3 linked regions of the Diceros bicornis minor genome follow. The protein of the gene in region 3 purifies or fractionates together with the protein of the main gene of each other region. This does not show direct contact. Links are inferred from orthologs where the notes say so. Each region holds a gene or a part of one and is shown on either strand. Other genes may lie near its edges. The genes, in order: MAU2, NCBP1 and KPNA1.

Region 1 (5,874 bases), on a different chromosome or scaffold from region 3:
TCAATGTCCAGCCTGAAATTCTTGGATGCTGTCACTCTGATCACATCACCTGTGCTCAAAACTCTTGGGTGGCCTTAGCATTTCTCAGGACAGGCAGGAGGAAACCCTGCCTGAGCTACCTCCTGCCTACCTCCAGAACAGCCCCTTTGGTGCAGCAGCTCGGGCTGCTTGACACACAAGGGCTCCCTCCCCTTCCTGCCCTCTGCCAGGCAGGCCTTTCCCTGCTTCCTCAACGGGCTGGCTCTGCCTGGGCCTTCAGACTGTAAAGCTTCTTCTGCGCCCCTATGGTGGCCACTGCATCTGGGAACACACTGCTTTAAGTTACCCAGCAGCAGCTCTAGGGGTAGAACTGGCACCCCCTTTGCTAGCACACTGTGAACCAGTCAGAGTAAAAGCAGAGACAGAGTCTAGGTTTTTGCTTCATGCTACACCCCTAGTCCCTGGTCAGCAGTAAATAACTGCCAAGTGAAGGAGTTGGCAGGCCATTCTCTGGGCTCCCACACACCCCTTGTTTCTCTTCTGCCACACTACACCTCTTGAAAGAGAGCACCTGTGTCACTCCTTGCATTATCAGGCTGTGGCCAGGTGCAGGTACACCCTGACTGCTCTCACAAGCAAAACCCTCTGCCCGATGACCCTCTATGACCTCATTCCAGCCTCAGGGGGCACTCACTCGCCAGGATGCGGGGCTTGAGGGCTGGCCATCTGATTCTGCTTGGCTTTCTGCTCCATTTTGGCTTCAATTTCCCGTTTCTTCTGAGCAATGAGCTCTTCCTGATGAAGGATGTTCATGTTCATTTTTCCAGACTTGGGAGGAGCAACCCCAAACCACCGGTTAGCCTTTCCTGGGGAGGGAAAAGAAGCACATCAGAAATCACCTTCGCTCCACAAACATGCACAGCAGCAGCTACAGGAGCAGGCCAGTTGCTGCCTTGCAGCATCTCATATTCAGATTGACATTCATACATCCATTCATTTATTCAGCAAACATTTACCAAACTATGTACCAGGTGCTGTACTAGGTGCCAAACGAGAGAGACGGGGCCTCTGCCCATGTGGGACTCACCTCTAGCTGGGGAGACAATAGACTCATAACAAAAAAGTAGCTGCAAAATCATGATAAGAGCTCTCTGCTGAAAACCAAAAGGGGTGAGAAAGAATAGCAGCAGAGCGCCTATACAGCTAGGGCAGCCAGAAAATAACCATTAGAAGTGGGGACCTTTAAGCTAAAACCAGAAAGACAAAGAGCCAGCCTCCTGAAAAGCCAGATGGGGCACGATCTGGGCAAAGTAAGGAGCAAATGCAAAAACCCAAGGCTAGAAGAAGCCTGGAGCACCCAAGGACCAGCAAGGGTCCAGTGTGGCCAGAGTGGTCCACTCCAGGGATGCGCATGGCAGGGCACAATAGGGAGTCTGGGCTCTACTTTAAGAGCTTTAGGAGGCAACGGGGAAGTATTAAGCTAACAAGATCCAACTGGTATTTTTATTTTTAAGATTATTCTGGGTACTGATTGGAGAGAGTGCATAGGCAGCAAGGAGGCCAATGAGGAGGCTTGCTGGCTCCAAGCAAAAGACAATGTTGTCTTCAGACAAGGATGGTAGCTGTGGAGTTGAAGAAGACATCTTGAAGGTTCCCAGTGGCAATTCGAATAAAATCAAAATTCTGAAAGTTGCTTGTCAAGGCCCTTCCAGGGATGGTTCCCCTCCCCACTTCCATTTCATCCTTGACATTCTTCAAAATGACAAGCCCATCCCACCCCAAGGCATTTGCACTTGCTGTCCCTCCCTCTGCGTAGAAGGCTCTACCCTCCAGGCCTTCCCATAGCTGGCAAGTTCTCATCTCAAACGTCTTCTGCTCAAAGAGGCCTTCCTTGACCACCCAGTATCAGCAGACTCCACCCCCACTCTTTCAGATCATTAAAACCCTCTCTCTGTAAATATTTCCTCTTTGGTGCATTATGTGACACCCTAGCAGAAAATAACCTTTTCTACTAAACAGGGCACTGTTTTGGTTACCACTGCATCCCCAGCGCCTAGCACAGTGCCTGGCACACAGTGAGTATTTGCTGAATGCGTGAATGCATCCCAGCCTAGCGGGGCTAGGGCTGGGAGACAGGGAATGGCAAGCCTTGTAGTGAAGGAGGGGCTCGAAAGACCCAGGCAGATGCGTACAAGAAGTCCGAGAGCATTTCGGAAAAGCAGCTTTTCTAGAAAGCGGGACACTGGCCAGACGGCACCTGCTACAGAGAGGGGCGCGGGACAGCCCAAGGTTGCCGCTGTTTCGGGGAGCGGAGCTCAGGGCAGCCCTCAAGGCGGTTATTTCGGAAAGCGGGCGCAGGGAAGAGCCAGGTGGCGGCCTTTAGAGAGACCCGGGCGCCCTCAACACACCAGGCGGGGACAAGGGCAGCAACTGGGGTCTGGGGTCTCGGGAGACGGGGGAGGTGCAGAAGCCATCGCTTCGGGTCGCCCAAAGGCTTAGGCGAGGGGCCGGCGGGTTAGGGCAGGCCCGACAGGAGGGCAAAGCGGCGACACGGAGCCCAGAAGCCCCAAGCCAGCGCTTGAAGGGAGGTGTGGGCTATTACCTGCAACATCCCGGTTGTCCATCTTGAGACTCATCCAATCCCACAATCCTCCGGCGCCACCTGCGGTGGGAGGAAGGGCCAGTTATACTGCGCATGGCTTGATGGGAGATGTAGTCCGCGCCGGCCAGCCACGCCCCGCCACTGCATGGACACCTGGGGTCTTCCCCCCAGGAACGCAAACCTTGGCCAATCGGCAATGTCTAGTCTCAGTCCCGCAGACTAGAGGCCGTCGCCTTTTCTCATACCTTCCCGGAGCCGCGGCCCTCCAAAAACAAACTACATGTTCCGGGATGCTCTGTGCAACAGCTCTCGCGAGAGACGCGGGGTGCGCCCGGCCCCGCCCCGCGTGCCTGCTTCCGCCTCCCTGCGGCGGCGGCTTGTTGTTGTGGAGGCCAAAATGGCGGCGCAGGCGGCAGCTGCGGCTCAGGCGGCGGCGGCGGCGGCGGCGGCGGCTCAGGCAGCGCAGGCCGAGGCGGCCGAATCGTGGTACCTGGCGCTTCTGGGCTTCGCCGAGCACTTCCGCACTTCCAGCCCGCCCAAGATCCGCCTGTGCGTGCACTGCCTGCAGGCCGTGTTCCCCTTCAAGCCGCCGCAGCGCATCGAGGCCCGCACGCACCTGCAGCTCGGTTCCGTGCTTTACCACCACACCAAGAACAGCGAGCAGGCGCGCAGCCACTTGGAGAAAGCGGTGAGCGCGGGCCGGGCCGCGAGGAACGAGGCGGCGCGGGCTCCTTGTGGGGCCGCCTGTGTTCACGGGCTGCGACCCCCGGCGGGCGGGGGCGCCCAGGCCGGTCCTCGGGGACCCGGGGCGCGACCTCTGCGCGGACAGCGGGACGCGAAGCCGCCTGCCTCTCAGGGAATCCGAGCGCCTTGTCTCGCATCTTAGTTAACGTGTTTGGTGACAGGCAGAGCCCCGCCCAGGTTGCTCCGCGAGTTGCCTCTTCTCAGGACCAACAGGCCCAAATTCTTCAGGTTTTCAGGAGGATATCAACAGGAGGATGCCTGTTGGCTCCTGTGGGAACGCCCCAGTTCGGCCAGTGGGTCCTGCAGCTTCCAGCTCCTCAGGGCTCAGCCCTGGGAGCATCAGCCTGAACGCTCTCTCCTGAAGTGACTGGGGATAGGGGAACCATCCTTTGGGAATCTGAAGCTTGGTCTCTCAGGAAACCTAGGAAGGTGTAACCTTCCTGGACCCATAAGTCTCATAAGGGTCTGGAGGGTTTTGTACCGCTATCAGTAATGCGGAGTGTCATAGATGGGAGGCAGAGACCTAGAGTTGGTGATTTGAAGTCCTATAAAGAGGTGGAACTGAGTCGGGGGTTGGGGGGGGGGTCTGGATTCCAGGACCAGTTGCTCAGTAGGGGCTGAAGGAGGCGGGGATCTCACAGCTTCTACTTTCTCTGTATCCACCAGTGACTTCTTTTCCTGCCACCATCCACCAGTCCATCCCCTTCAAGGGGCAGGCCCCATCCCCCCATCTTGACTTGTGGGATCTAAGTATTCCAAGGAAGGTGGGAAAGTGGCTGTTTTTCTGGCTGTGGAGTGGTTTCTTCTCGCAGCAACACTGCACTCCTGGCAGATCACGCCTCCATTTCCCATTTACCTAACTTTAGTCTACTTAAAGGACAGACTTTTTTTTTTTTTCTTTAGATTTTGTGTGTGTGTGTGTGAAAAGGACTAGCCCTGAGCTAACATCCGATGCCAATCCTCCCCTTTTTTCTTGAGGAAGATTGGCCCTGAGCTAACATCCGTGCCCATCTTCCTCTGCTTTTTTTTTAAATTTTTTTTTGTGAGGAAGATCAGCCCTGAGCTAACATCTGATGCCAGTCCTCTTTTTTCTGAGACTGGCCCTGAGCTAACATCTGTGCCCATCTTCCTCTACTTTATATGGGACGCTGCCACAGTATGGCTTAACAAGCGGTGTGTTGGTGCGCGCCCGGGACCCAAACCTGCGAACCCCGGGCTGCCGAAGCGGAGTGCATGCACTTAACTGCTTGCACCACCGGGCCAGCCCCAAGGAGAGACTTCTTGAATAGAATCAACTGAGATTTTTAGTTTATTGTTCTGAGGTGAATCTGAACCTACACATGGCTAGTAACAAGTTGCCCCTGGAAGATATCAAATCTTTGTTTTGTTGAGGGGACTTTAGTCCTTGCTCGATCAACTTCCTTGTTTCAGGAGTGAGGCAGAATGGGCCCAGACAGGTGAAGTGATTTGCCCAAAGCCACACAACGTTATTAACAAAACTGGGCTCAAACCTAGGCTCAGGATCACCAGGTTCCATCCCAAGACAATAAGTCACTATTGTTTTCGTGAAGCTTTTTTCTTTCATTCATTCAGCAGACGTTTATTCAGCTCACACCAGGTGCCAAGCCCTATTCTAGGTGCTCGGGATCAGTGATGACTAAAACAGTCCTCACCCGCTTAAGCTTATGTTTTAGTGAAGGAGACAGACAATGAATATCTAGTAAAAGGTTAGGCTGTGGTATAAGAACCATAAAAAATATGGACCAGGGAGAAGGGATGGAGTTGACAGAGAGGTATTTTTGGCAGAGGTAGTGAGGGAGTCTATTTGTGGGTGTGACGTTTGAGTAGAGGCCTAAATGGGAGGGAGGAGCAAGCCTGGAGAACTGCTCAGGGTGTCAGGTTGATCCCAAGGAGTGCCTGACCTGTCAATGAGCAGTTGGTGTCAGGGTCTCCTGCGGTGGGGGGAGGATATATGGGATGGGGCATGGAATTTAGCCTGTTTCTACCAGTGGTTCACAGTTGCTGTGTCGTTGTCACATTTTGCCTGCTCAGTGCTGTTGAGTGGAAGAAGCCATGCCTCAGATTTCTTCCCTGTAGTTGCTTGGCTTTTGGACCCATGATTTAAATCGTTATCCTTGCAAAGTGCCTTCCCTCGATTTTACAGAACCCTGAAACTTGTGGGGACTTACACAGAGCCACAGGGTCCCCTCCATAGCTCACACTGACATTCCACCAGGAAATCCCTTTCTTTCTGTCTGTTGCATCCCCACCGGGGAATTTGTCCAGATTTCAACTCAAGTGTCGTTCTCTGTGCTGTTTTCCTTCTGCAGTTCTTTGTGATCTCCTTTTGGGTTGCAATGCAAGCATGCTTTCTTTAATCTTCATTCTTTATCAGTTGTGCATCTTTCCCAAATCAGGCAGCTATCAACTTTTATTCTTTCCTTTCCCAGCTCAATAAAGAATCGTAATATGTTCTCCTTTTAGAAATGGTTTGCTAGTTTCTAGCGCTAAAGAGCAAATGGCCAAAGAGATTCCAGTTTCTTTTCAGG
Region 2 (5,874 bases), on a different chromosome or scaffold from region 3:
GTTCTTGAAGGAAATTACAAGTGCTACTCCAGTGAACACACGAATGATAAGAAAGCATAACAGGCTTACTGCTGATATGGAGGAAGTTTTAGTGGTCTGGATAGAAGATCAAACCAGCCACCAAGTTCCCTTAAGCCAAAATCTAATCCAGACAAGGACCTAACTCTCTTCAATTCTAGGAAGCCTGAGAGAGGTCAGGAAGCTGCAGAAGTGTGAAGCTAGCAGAGGTTGGTTCATGAGGTTTAGGAAAGAAACCACCTCCATAACATAAAAATGCAAGGTGAAGCAGCAAGTGCTGATGTAGAAGCTGCAGCAAGTCATCCAGAAGATCTAGCTAAGATGATTAATGAAGGTGGCTACACTAAACAGCGGATTTTCAATGTAAATGAAACAGCCTTATGTTGGAAGAAGATGCCATCTAGGACTTTTGTAGCTAGAGAGAAGTCAATGCCTGGCTTCAAGGCTTCAAAGGAGAGGCTGAGGGGCCAGCCCAGTGGCACAGTGGTTAAGTTCGCATGCTCTGCTTCGGCAGCCCAATGTTTGCAGGTTCGGGTCCCAGATGCAGACCTATGCACCACTTGTCAAGCCATGCTGTGGCAGGCATCCCACATATAAAGTAGAGGAAGATGGGCACAGATGTTAGCACAGGGCCAACCTTCCTCAGCAAAAAGAGGAGGATTGGCAATGGATGTTAGCTCAGGGCTAATCTTCCTCACCAAAAAAAAAAAAAGAGAGAGAGGCTGATGCTCTTGATAGGGGCTAATGTAGCTGGTAACTTTAAGTTGAAACCAATGCTCATTTACCATTCCAAAAGTCAGGGCTCTTAAGAATTATGCTAAATCTACCCTGCCTGTGCTCTATAAACGGAACAACAAAGTCAGGATGACAGCAAATCTGTTTACAGCATGGTTTAGTGAACATTTTAAGACCAACGTTGACGTACTACTCAGAAAAGAAGATTCTTTTCCAAATATTATTGCTCACTGACAATGCACCTGGTCACCCAAGTGTGCTGATGGAGATGTACAACACGATTAATGCTGTTTTCATGCCTGCTAACACAGCATCCATTCTGCAGCCCCTGCATCAAGGAATAATTTCAACTGTCAAGTCTTATTATTTAAGAAATATATTTCATACAGCTACAGCTGTGATAAATAGTGATTCCTGGATGGATCAGGGCAAAGTAAACTGAAAATCTCTGGAAAGGATTCACCATTCTAGATGCCATTAAGAACATTTGTGATTCGTGGGAAGAAGTCAAAATACCAACGTTAACAGGAGTTTGGAAGAAGTTGATTCCAACCCTCATGGATGACTTTGAGGAGTTAAAGGCTTAACTGGAGGAAGTAACTGCAGATATGGTGGAAATAACACGAGGACTAGAATTAGAAGTGGAGCCTGAAGATGTGACTGAATTGCTGCAATCTCATGATAAAACTTGAACAGATGAAGAGTTGCTTCTTATAGATAAGCAAAAAAAGTGGTTTCTTGAGATGGAATCTACTCCTGGTGAAGATGCTGTGAAGACTGTTGAAATGACAGCAAAAGATTTAGAACATTACATCAACAGGTGATAAAGCAGGGTTTGAGAGGATTGACTCCAATTTTGAAAGAAGTTCTGCTGTGGGTAAAATGCTATCAAATAGCATCATATGCTACAGAGAAATCATTCATGAAAGGAAGAGTCAACTGATGTGGCAAACTTCACTGTTGTCTTATTTTAAGCAGTTGCCACAGCCACTCCAACCTCGAGCAACCATCACCCTAATCAGACAGCAGCCACCAACATCAAGGCAAGACCCTCCACCAGCAAAAAGATGATGACTCGCTGAAGGCTCAGATGATGGTTAGCATTTTTTAGCAATAAATTATTTTTTAATTAAGGTATGTACATTGTGTTTCTTTGGATACAATGCTACTGCACACTTAATAAACTACAGTATAGTGTAAATATAACTTTTACATGCACTGGGAAACCAAAAAGTTTGTGTGACTTGCTTTACCGCGGTGGTCTGGAACTGAACGTGCAACATCTCCACTGTAGGCCTTGGCGCATACACTATGTATGTTTAGCCCATACACTAACACTCCAAAACTTTAGGTGTCAGATGAGAAGGCTGGACTAGAATATCCTATCAAACCACACTCCAGCAGAAATCTGATGTTTCATTGTTAAAACTAAATACACGTGATTCTGCCCCTACCCTCAACTGCCCCAATATTCAAGGAGACAAAAATGTTAGTGCAGAGAATTAATTCAACTAAAAATTTTTACTCCATATTTTTTCTTACATCACTGACATCTGCCAATGTTTACCACATCTTAAGCATTAACAGATGATAAACATTATTACACACTAAGGTTTAAAAGGTGGTATAACCCAGGCAAGATCACAAAGTAAATGGTGGGGTCTAGCTTTGAACTTAAACCCTCTGATTCCAAAGTCTGGCCTTTTAACCACTACAGTACACTCTTTTCAAAGAACAATACACTAAAACATTAATAACAGAATTACTCTTAGTTTCTTCTTCTTTTTTTTTTTTTGGTGGGTGTGTATTCCTGACCGATTTTTGTAATTTAAGTATCTTTTTCAATTTTTAACTAGCAAAATTATTCTTCGTTTTTATGACGACAACATCATGGGGACATGAGATCAACCCTCCAAATGGAGATGGGAACCCGTGAGCTAAATCTCTAAGAGCTCTCCAGTTAGTTTTCCAGCACTCTTTCTTACACGAGGGAAATACGCTTATGGCCAGTTCCAAACCTAACAACATGCATCTGTTTATTAGTGAGTGACCTCTTGGGTGTGGGTAAGAGACAGATTTCTTTCCCTGCAGCTTGAAAGGAGGCAAATGACCGAGACAGGGGCAAACCTCAGGCTGTGATTCTTCAGATCTCTCAGTCCCGGCTTTGTCCCTTTCCTTCAGGACTCTTCCGAGAACCCTCTTCAGGGGCAGTTTGAGGGTCAAAAGGAGACACCGGGACTAGCGGGTTCCTGTCACTGTCCCTGAGAGGCGGCCGCACAGACACAGGTATACCTCCCCTCTCGGCGATGCTAAGGACCAAATCCTGAAGTCCTTAGAGACCAGGGGGCCACCAGGCCTCCTTTCCGCCGACGGCTAAAGGAGCTGGGGCGGGGGAAGCAGGGGCTTTCCGGGGGTCGCCCGGCCACACTCGCTGTGCCACCCTCCTTCCCTCTGTGGCTCCCCGAACGCTCCCGGGGCGAAGGGCTTCCCGTCCCTTCGCTGAGACCCGAAGACCCAGGAAGCCCAACCCGGGCCCCCCCGGGCGCGGCCTCGGCGGCCGGGCCGGACACTCACCGTCGTTCTCGTCGCTGTGCCGCCGCCGCGACATGCCGCACGCCGGTGCGCTGCCGAGCCGAGACGCCGGGGGGGAAGCGCGGCAGGAAGCGTTGGGCCGCCGGCCGGCGCGAAGACAGCGGCGCGGAGCGCGGAGTGGCCGGCGCGCAGGCGCACTAGCTCGCGACGGCCCCCGGAAGCGCAAGGAGGAGAGGCGGCTGGGTGGGCTCAGCGGGCTCGGATCGCGGAGGGCCGGCGTCTGAGAGCTCACCAGGCCGCGTGCGTCTGGGACCCGCACGCAACCGCCCCCTCGGGCTTCCTCCGCCTCTCGGCTGCCTCCTTCTCCCGCCTTTCGCTCTAAGTCCTTCCGGTGCCAGAGCCCGCTGGCCACGAGCCACGCCTGGAGGCGGCTGGTCTAGGAGGGACGCTCCAGGCCCCGCCTCAACCTCAGACTCTCCTTGGGGCCTCGCAGTGCCTTTCCCAGCGGCCCTTTCGCCAACGTCCTCGAGGACTTCCGGAGCGAGGTGACGTCGGAGCGTCCCTTCCTTCGTAAAGACCAGGCGGGGGCCGGGGTTCCAGGGCGGTGAGCGGCGACAATTGCTAGGTGGAGACGGTTCAGTGAAGAAAGATATAAGAGAGGATCAGGCCCGGCGGGTACGTGCTCCTCTTCCTCCCACTTCCGGGCCTTTGCCTCCTCGGGAAAGCGGCGCGGAGAGCTTGGGTCCGCCCGGCGCGCGGGGTGGGGCCTGCTCGGGAGGCGGCGCCGCACGAGCCGCCCCTGGGACGGCAAGACCCGCCCCGGCGTGAGCCCGCTGCTCCGCGTCCCCTCCGGGTTGTTGTCTAGGAAGGAACAGGTGGCTGTTTTAGTAATGTTTGCAGTGGTTATTGGGTACCTGCGTACGTGTATGTGAGCACCCCCTGCCCCGACGTCTCCGAGGAGCAGCACACCTGCTTATCTGTCTGAGATGTCGCAGGTCTAACATGGAACTCTTGTGTCGCTCTCCTGGCCTAAGTGTGCCTCCTTCAGTCTTACCCATTTCAGTAAATGGCACCATCTATCCGATTGCTTAGTTCAAAGTGTAGGTAGGAGTCATTCTTGGGTCCTCCTTTTCCTTCGTTTCCTACATAACAGTGTATCTGTAAACCCTGCCGGTTCTGCTTTCAAAACAAATCCAGAGTCAGACCACGTTACTCCTCTGTTTACAACTCTCGGATGACTTTCCATGGCAAACGCCATACCCTGACTTACAGGGTTCTGCTCTGTCATCAGTATACTCCAGCCACTCTTCTTGTTCTTCCAATGAGTCAAGCTTAAAATTCCCACTTTAGGAATTTATACTGTTTCCTTTGCCTAAAGATCTCTGCTCCTAAATCTGCGTAGGATGCCTCCTTGACATTTAGGTCTCAGCTCAAACGTCAGGTCCTTCGTGAAGCCTTCCCTGGCTACGCAATCACTGTTTTATTTCATTCAACAAATATCGTATTTATTAACATTTAGCACCTCCTATGTGCCAGGCAGTGTTCTAGATGCTGAGGATGCAGAGGTGAACAAAGAAAATCCTTGCTTTCCTGGTGCTGGTGACCCGTTGAGGAATGGGGACACGGTGCAATCAGAGGTGTGAGCCAAGGGAGAGGAGTAGAAGATGAGATTAGAGAGGTGCGGGAGGGGCTCTGTAAGGACCTTGGACTTTAAGTTGAGAAGCCTCTGGAGGGTGATCTGACTTACTTTTTAAGAGTTACCTCTCTTGCTCTTAGAGGAGGAGGGCAGTTAGGCTACTGCAATAACTCAGCCAAGAAATGATAGTGCTTGGGCCAGCCAGGTGGTGTAGTGGTTAGGTTCGCACACTCTGCTTTGGTTGACCGGGGTTTGAGGGTTCGGATCCCGGGCGTGGACCACTGCACCGCTTATCAAGCCATGCTGTGGCAGCGTCCCACATAAAATGGAGGATGGGCACAGATGTTAGCTCAGGGCCAATCTTCATCAGCAAAAAGAGGAGGATTGGCAACAGATGTTAGCTCAGGGCTAATCTTCCTCACACACACACTATATATAAAAAAAAAAAAAAAAAGAAATGATGGTGCTTGAACCAGGTTGCTAGTGAAAGTGGTGCAAAGTGGTCTCATGTGAATGTATTTCTTATGTTTACTTATTTAGAGTCTGTCTTCTCTGACTAGAATATAAAGAGAGCAGAGACCTTAACTGTTTCTTTGAAGACCTGCCTCCACAGCACTATTCTCTGTGTCAGGCACATAGCAAAGTTTCCACAAGTAATAGTTAAGAATATATAAATAAATTAAAGTGAGAACTGAAAAAGGATTTAGAATGAGGGGAGGTCATTTTGGGGTGGTGGGAAAGGCATGTGTGGAGACCCTGAGGCAGGAGAGAGCATGACTCGTTTGTGGAATGAGGCGAAGTCCAGTTTGGCCAGAGATGGAGACGTGAGGGAGAGTGTTGTCTGAGATGAGCCTAGAGTGGTAGGGGAACTAGGTATGTGCCAAACACTGGACACATTCCTTTCCAGTCCTCGCTACTGTCAGGTAGATACTGTCATCCCCATTTTACACATT
Region 3 (5,874 bases):
ATGCTGGAAAATCAATGATGATGAGTAAGCAGACTTATCTTTGTACATGAAGGCCAGCATTATTCTTGTTACGTGAAGGAGATTATCCCCCTTATCCACATTCTGGATTATTGCCTGCTTTCAAGAACTGTCCCAGTTAGTCTACTACAGTAGGTCAGAACCATTTTACCACTTAGCTCTGTTTTGTAGGGTCATAACATCTTTAAAAAAAAAAAAACAAAAAAAAAAACCTACCTTTCCATCAGCCTTCATCCGTGCTCTTTCACTGCAGGACCTCAAAATCTGCTAACGCCCTATGTGCCCCTCACCTCTCCCCCGTCCCCCCATGGCCTGGGGCCACCTCCTGCTTACGGCAGCAATAATAGAGTGAAATCAGCCCCAATCAGCTAATTTAATTGTTTACCGTTTCCCATCTTTTCTTCCATTATTATGGCTGAATTCATAATACTCTGCAAAGTACAGAGATCTTAAAACAAAGAGAGCAATAGGGAATTATCTCTATCACTAGGACAGTCATCTTTATTTACATGGCCAAAAGTCTTAATTAATTTTATACAAAGTATTCACATATACTTCTAAAAACAATCTGACAGGCTTAAGCACACAAACATCATAAATCAAGACTTTATCATTAACTCAACAAACACTATGCTAAAACACTGGAGATAAAAAGAATAAGATATAATCTCTACTCTCAAATGAAAGGGAAAAGGTAAAAACAACATCAAGAGCAACAGAGAACAAAGAAAATAGTCCAGGAAACAACTGAGAGCAATCCCAGACTACCTGGTATAATTTATAACATAGGTGAGGCTAAGGAAAATTACAAAAATTGGACACAGCTCTGAGCCTCCTGTCAGCCAAAGTGTAAAGAGAAACAAGATAGCTTACAAAACACAAAAGATCTAATAAAAGCAGTCATTTGTTTAAAAAAAAAAGAAAAAGGCTATCATGGGGTCTTAAAAAGAATCTGTCTCTAGAGTCTCTACTTTATTAAGAATCGATAAATAAGAAACAGTGTCTTGGGTAGCAATGAAGATTTTTTTTCATGTTGCCTTTTCCTATGTACCAATCCTAGATAAAAGTCAAGGTGCAATGGCCAACAGGCACATGAAAAGATGCTCAACATCGTTAACTATCAGAGAAATGCCAATCAAAACTACAATGAGATATCACCTCATGCCTGTCAGAATGGCTATAATTAACAAGACAGGAAACAACAAGTGTTGGAGAGGATGTGGAGAGAAGGGAACTCATACACTGCTGGTGGGAGTGCAAACTGGTGCAGCCACTATGGAAAACAGTATGGAGATTCCTCAAAAAATTAAGGATAGAACTACCATATGATCCAGCTATTCCACTGCTGGGTATTTATCCAAAGAACTTGAAAACACCAATGCGTAAAGATACATGCACCCCTGTGTTCACTGCCGCGTTATTCACAGTAGCCAAGACTTGGAAGCAACCTAAGTGCCCATCAAGGGACGAATGGATAAGGAAGATGTGGTATATATACACAATGGAATACTACTCAGCCATAAGAAACGATGAAATCCAGCCATTTGTGACAACATGGATGCACATTGAGGGTATTATGCAAAGTGAAATAAGTCAGAGGGAGAAGGTCCAATACCATATGATCTCCCTCATTAAGTAGTAGCTAATAACAACAATAAACAAACATAGAGACAGAGATTGGATTGGTGGTTACCAGAGGGGAAGGGGGGAGGGAGGAGGGCGAAAGGGATAATTTGGCACATGTGTGTGGTGATGGGTTGTAATTAGTATTTGGGTGGTGAACATGATGTAATCTATGCAGAAATATAAGTATAATGATGTACACCTGAAATTTATACAATGTTATAAACCAATGTTACTGCAATAAACAAAAAATAAAAATTAAAAAAAAGTCAAGGTGCAATATTAAATCCTAGTTCTGTGGAGAAACTTCTGTGAGGACCTAAAGTAACATAATGCAGTACAGTGACTTCAGGTGAGGCATTTATGTCGGTCATTTAGTTTATTCTAGCTTTTTATAAATGTATGTTTTGTTTCCCTACTAGATTGTAAACTCCTCAAGGCTTATGTTGTCTGATTCCATTTTAACTTCCTTTGCTACTTAGTACTTTATAGTTTCTGCTCAATAAACAAACATAATGACTGATAAAATGTCATGCAGTCAATATTTATTTTCTTTGTTAGTCTCCCCCTACACTATAAATTCCATGAGGACAGGAACAGTGTCTTGATCACGTCCATATCCCCAGTCTCAGGGCACATGATCACTCCATAATTGTTCATTGAACGAGTGGATTAAAGAAAGAAAACACCATCAAGAAATATAAAAGGAGAGGAGAAATCATTCTTAGAATGGCAGTGACTTTGGGTTCGAAGGCTGGTTCCAACAAGGGCTGGATGACCTCAGGTAAGTTACTTCTCTGACCTTGAAAGTTTTCATCTGTAGAACAGGAAAAATTAACATCTACTTCCGAGTTACTGTCAGCATTAAATGTTTTAATATACGTCAAGTATTGAGCACAATACCTGGAAAGGAGCTCAATAAATGTTAATTCGTTTACTTTCTCTCACGTCCTCCATCTTAAAATCACACATTACACATAAAACAGTGCCTTTCAAGAATAAATTATTTCAGTAAAAATATAATCGATTTCATAATCACTTTCATCTCTTCAATCTTTAAAATGAAGGGGGAATAACGTGGATTACTTTCAAAATATTACAAATACAAGAACAAGTTAAGGAAAAAACAACGTCAAGAGTCAGCGTTGAAACAAGAGCGGGGAAAAAAACCACTTACTCATCTACTGCTAAGAAATAGGAGTTGTGAAGAAACTGTTTATTAAAGGAAAAAAAATACTGAAAAAGTCAGTAATATTATTTAATAGCATGTTTTAGAAAAAACACTTCAAAATTGCTTATTCTGAATGTAAACCTTGAAAATCAATTATTTTGAAATCTTTCACTTAAACGTGGAACATTAAACACTCCCATTCAAACCTAAAACACTCCTTCGTGCCGACCTCCCGGACTCCAGTCATCCTCCAGTTTTCTCCTCCCATTTTGAGCTTCATCTAATACTTCGCTGTTCCCCTCGCATCACCACTTACACACGCTGTGTGCAGACGAAGTTCTGTCATTCCTATAATTACCACACCCCGTCAGCCGCTTCGGGCCCATGTTGTTATGACATCTGTAAACTGCAGTCGTCCGTCTCCACCCCGCCCCCCCCAGCCCCCGGCTCGGACTCGGGCCGCAACTTGTGAATTCCCAAGGTGGTCCCTTCCCGCCTCGGTCAGGATTCTTACACGCCCCCCCTGCTCTTCCCTGCCCCAGTCACGGCGCTCCGCGCTGCCCACCCCCGCCCGCTCGCGCCGGGCCGCGGCGCAGGCTCCGCGCTCGCCTCCTCTCCGCCCCGCTGCCTCGGCGCCCCGCAGTCCCCGGCGCCGCGTCCAACCCCGCCGCCGCCCCGCCCCGCCTCGACCGGCGCTCGCTATGGCCCTCGCACAGGCGCTCCCCGCCCCCACCTTCCCCTCCGCTGGCCGCGCGGCCGTTAGGACAGCTGGGCCCGTGACGCACGGACGCGCCGTGGGCGCCCCGGCCCAGGTACCCGAGCTGGAGCGCCCCCGGCGCCCGCCCTTGCCCCGGGGCCTCTCCCGGGTCCCGCCGAGGACTACCGAGCCGCCGGAGGGAGGGGGAGGGGCCGGGCCGCGGGGCCCCCGCACTCACCAGGGTCAAGGCAACCGATCCCGGTGCCTCTGCTGGGGGGAGCCGCTTGCTCGCTCGTCTGCCCGCCGTACCCCTCCCGCGCACAACCTCGAAGAGCCGACCCGCGCCGCGGCGGTGCTCTCCAGGCCTCACTCTCGCCGCCGCGCACCCAGCAGCCAGACCCAGCTCAGCCGGCGTTCGCAGGGCGCCTGCGCGCGGGGACCGGCCCAGGCGCCTGCGCGCGCCCCTCCACCACCCTGCTGCAGAGGCTGCCGGGAGGCGTAGTCTCCCAACCGTCGTCCTCTAGAAGCCTTGAGGTTAGCCTCGAGTCTGTGCGGAGTCGGAGGTCAGGGAGCAGGTCCCGCTGAGGAGGAGGTTCGCAGTCAATGGCCGAGGTCGGAGAATCGTGGTGGAGTGACAGTGAAACGGTACTTCTTAGGTTAAATTGCAAAGTTATGTCTACAAACCTGTCTTCGAAGCTCTTCCAGGGCCGACGGATCTTCTCTCGCCTCTATCTATAGCTAGCCTCTAACTTGGTTGATATTTAAGCCACGTTTGCTGAATGAATGGTGAAACGAAGGAAGGCTGAGGGAGTATTACAAACGTCTTAAAAGTCGGCGCCTCATGTCTAAGGCATTCACATGCAGCACGTTTGAGGAAGCTTCTGGGTATTCCTTCTTTTAGTTCTCTCCCATCCCCTTTGCCTGATAATGTATGAGGAGCATCAGAAATCACTAAGAAATTAAGTGAAACGCAAATACTTGCTTTAACTCTCACTAAATGCTCTCAAACGAAGACTTGGGGCAAATCATTGTTACTGCTAAGTTTGAAAAAATTCTTTTTGGGGAATTTCTTTTTGAGCAGTGGCTTCAAAAGAAGAAAGACCGAAGCCAGCCAAGCAAAGGTCGGGGAATAGAAAGTCTCACGAGTGACATGGGATATCAGATTGATTTAAAACACCCACCAGGAAGCAAGGCGAAAGAGAGGAGGTCGAGTAATACATTTATAAATGCGGGAGAGAGGACCACGCTAGCGGAATCCTGGGCTATGCCATGTTCATTTGTCCTGGAGCTCTTTCGGCTCCATCAGTATTCCCCACTGATGTTGTGTTGACTAGGGTGAGAGGTGAGTTTGAGCAAAGGGGCTGGAGAAAGGGAAGGTGTTCTAAGGCGGGGACTTAGGAGCAAGTATGCCTGACCACAGCTAAATTGAGGACAGATCACTTTATCCCAATCAGAAGCTAAAATTACTCAGAGTTGGACTCTCTTTCTTCAGAGTTTAAGTCTTTGTGAAAGCTAGTTTATTTCCAGTTCACCCTTAGTCCTAGCGAGGGTAGGCCTTGAGAGTCCCAACCAAAAGTGTGGAGTATTTACTAGGGCCTCTCCTCTATGGCTGGGCCTCCTCAACATCCTGAGACCTCGGTTTTTCAGCCACTGCTTTCAGAATTAGCAATCACCTCCGGTGGAAAAGTGATGGCAACCATCAGGCTCGCCTCTCATGGCTTCCCTTTTCTTCCAGATCTTGGACCCACAAGTTCTCACTGCCATGGTAGCTCGTTAATGCCTTAATGTTTTTTATATTTTGTCCAGTTGTTCTCAGTGGCGGTAGGATTTGTTCAAGACAACAACAGTTGCTGGAGAAGAATTCCTATATACATGTTACTTTGACAAAAGTGTTATACCACACATCGTGTTTTATTAGCTAATGTCTCTCTGACTATATCTTTTTGTATTTTGAAAAATTTAAAAATTATAGAACAATAGTTTTTCTGTTACAAGCAATGCTGCTATGAACATTCTTGTACGTATCTTCATGTGTATAAGGAAACTGCTAGATCCTAGGACATTGCATCTTTAATTTTACTAGATGTGGTAGGCAGAATTCTGAGATCGCCCCCATGATCTTTGGCCCCTGGTGTTGCCCTGTATAATGCCTACCTCTGGAGTCAATAAAATATGGCAAAGACGATGGGGTGTCACTCCTTTTATTACATTTCCCTTTATGTCTCTATCTTAGCAGACCAGAGCTAGACACTCTCCTGCTGGCCTTGAAGAAGTGAACCGTCATGTTGTGAACTGCCTATGGAGAGGGCCACATGGCAGGGAACTGCAGATGGCTTCTAGGACCCGAGTGCAGCCTCCAGCTGAC

What was found.
Region 1: the proteins of KPNA1 (region 3) and MAU2 purify together in Homo sapiens (affinity purification with mass spectrometry; 3 studies listed by BioGRID and IntAct, with this or other methods). This does not show direct contact. The link is inferred for Diceros bicornis minor from reciprocal best matches to the Homo sapiens genes KPNA1 and MAU2.
Region 2: the proteins of KPNA1 (region 3) and NCBP1 purify together in Homo sapiens (co-immunoprecipitation; 3 studies listed by BioGRID and IntAct, with this or other methods). This does not show direct contact. The link is inferred for Diceros bicornis minor from reciprocal best matches to the Homo sapiens genes KPNA1 and NCBP1.

Annotation. Positions count from the first base shown.
Region 1 is NC_080759.1:6,752,476-6,758,349, forward strand, and holds the start of MAU2 (MAU2 chromatid cohesion factor homolog), read left to right. Parts: upstream 1-2,966; 5' UTR 2,967-2,978; coding exon 2,979-3,269; intron 3,270-5,874. Other genes in the region: SUGP1 (SURP and G-patch domain-containing protein 1), read right to left, coding at 674-845, 2,582-2,615. UniProt on the Homo sapiens protein: Plays an important role in the loading of the cohesin complex on to DNA. Forms a heterodimeric complex (also known as cohesin loading complex) with NIPBL/SCC2 which mediates the loading of the cohesin complex onto chromatin.
Region 2 is NC_080767.1:7,924,517-7,930,390, reverse strand, and holds the start of NCBP1 (nuclear cap-binding protein subunit 1), read right to left. Parts: upstream 3,457-5,874; 5' UTR 3,362-3,456; coding exon 3,328-3,361; intron 1-3,327. UniProt on the Homo sapiens protein: Component of the cap-binding complex (CBC), which binds cotranscriptionally to the 5'-cap of pre-mRNAs and is involved in various processes such as pre-mRNA splicing, translation regulation, nonsense-mediated mRNA decay, RNA-mediated gene silencing (RNAi) by microRNAs (miRNAs) and mRNA export.
Region 3 is NC_080754.1:23,341,501-23,347,374, forward strand, and holds the start of KPNA1 (importin subunit alpha-5), read right to left. Parts: upstream 3,898-5,874; 5' UTR 3,748-3,897; intron 1-3,747. UniProt on the Homo sapiens protein: Functions in nuclear protein import as an adapter protein for nuclear receptor KPNB1. Binds specifically and directly to substrates containing either a simple or bipartite NLS motif.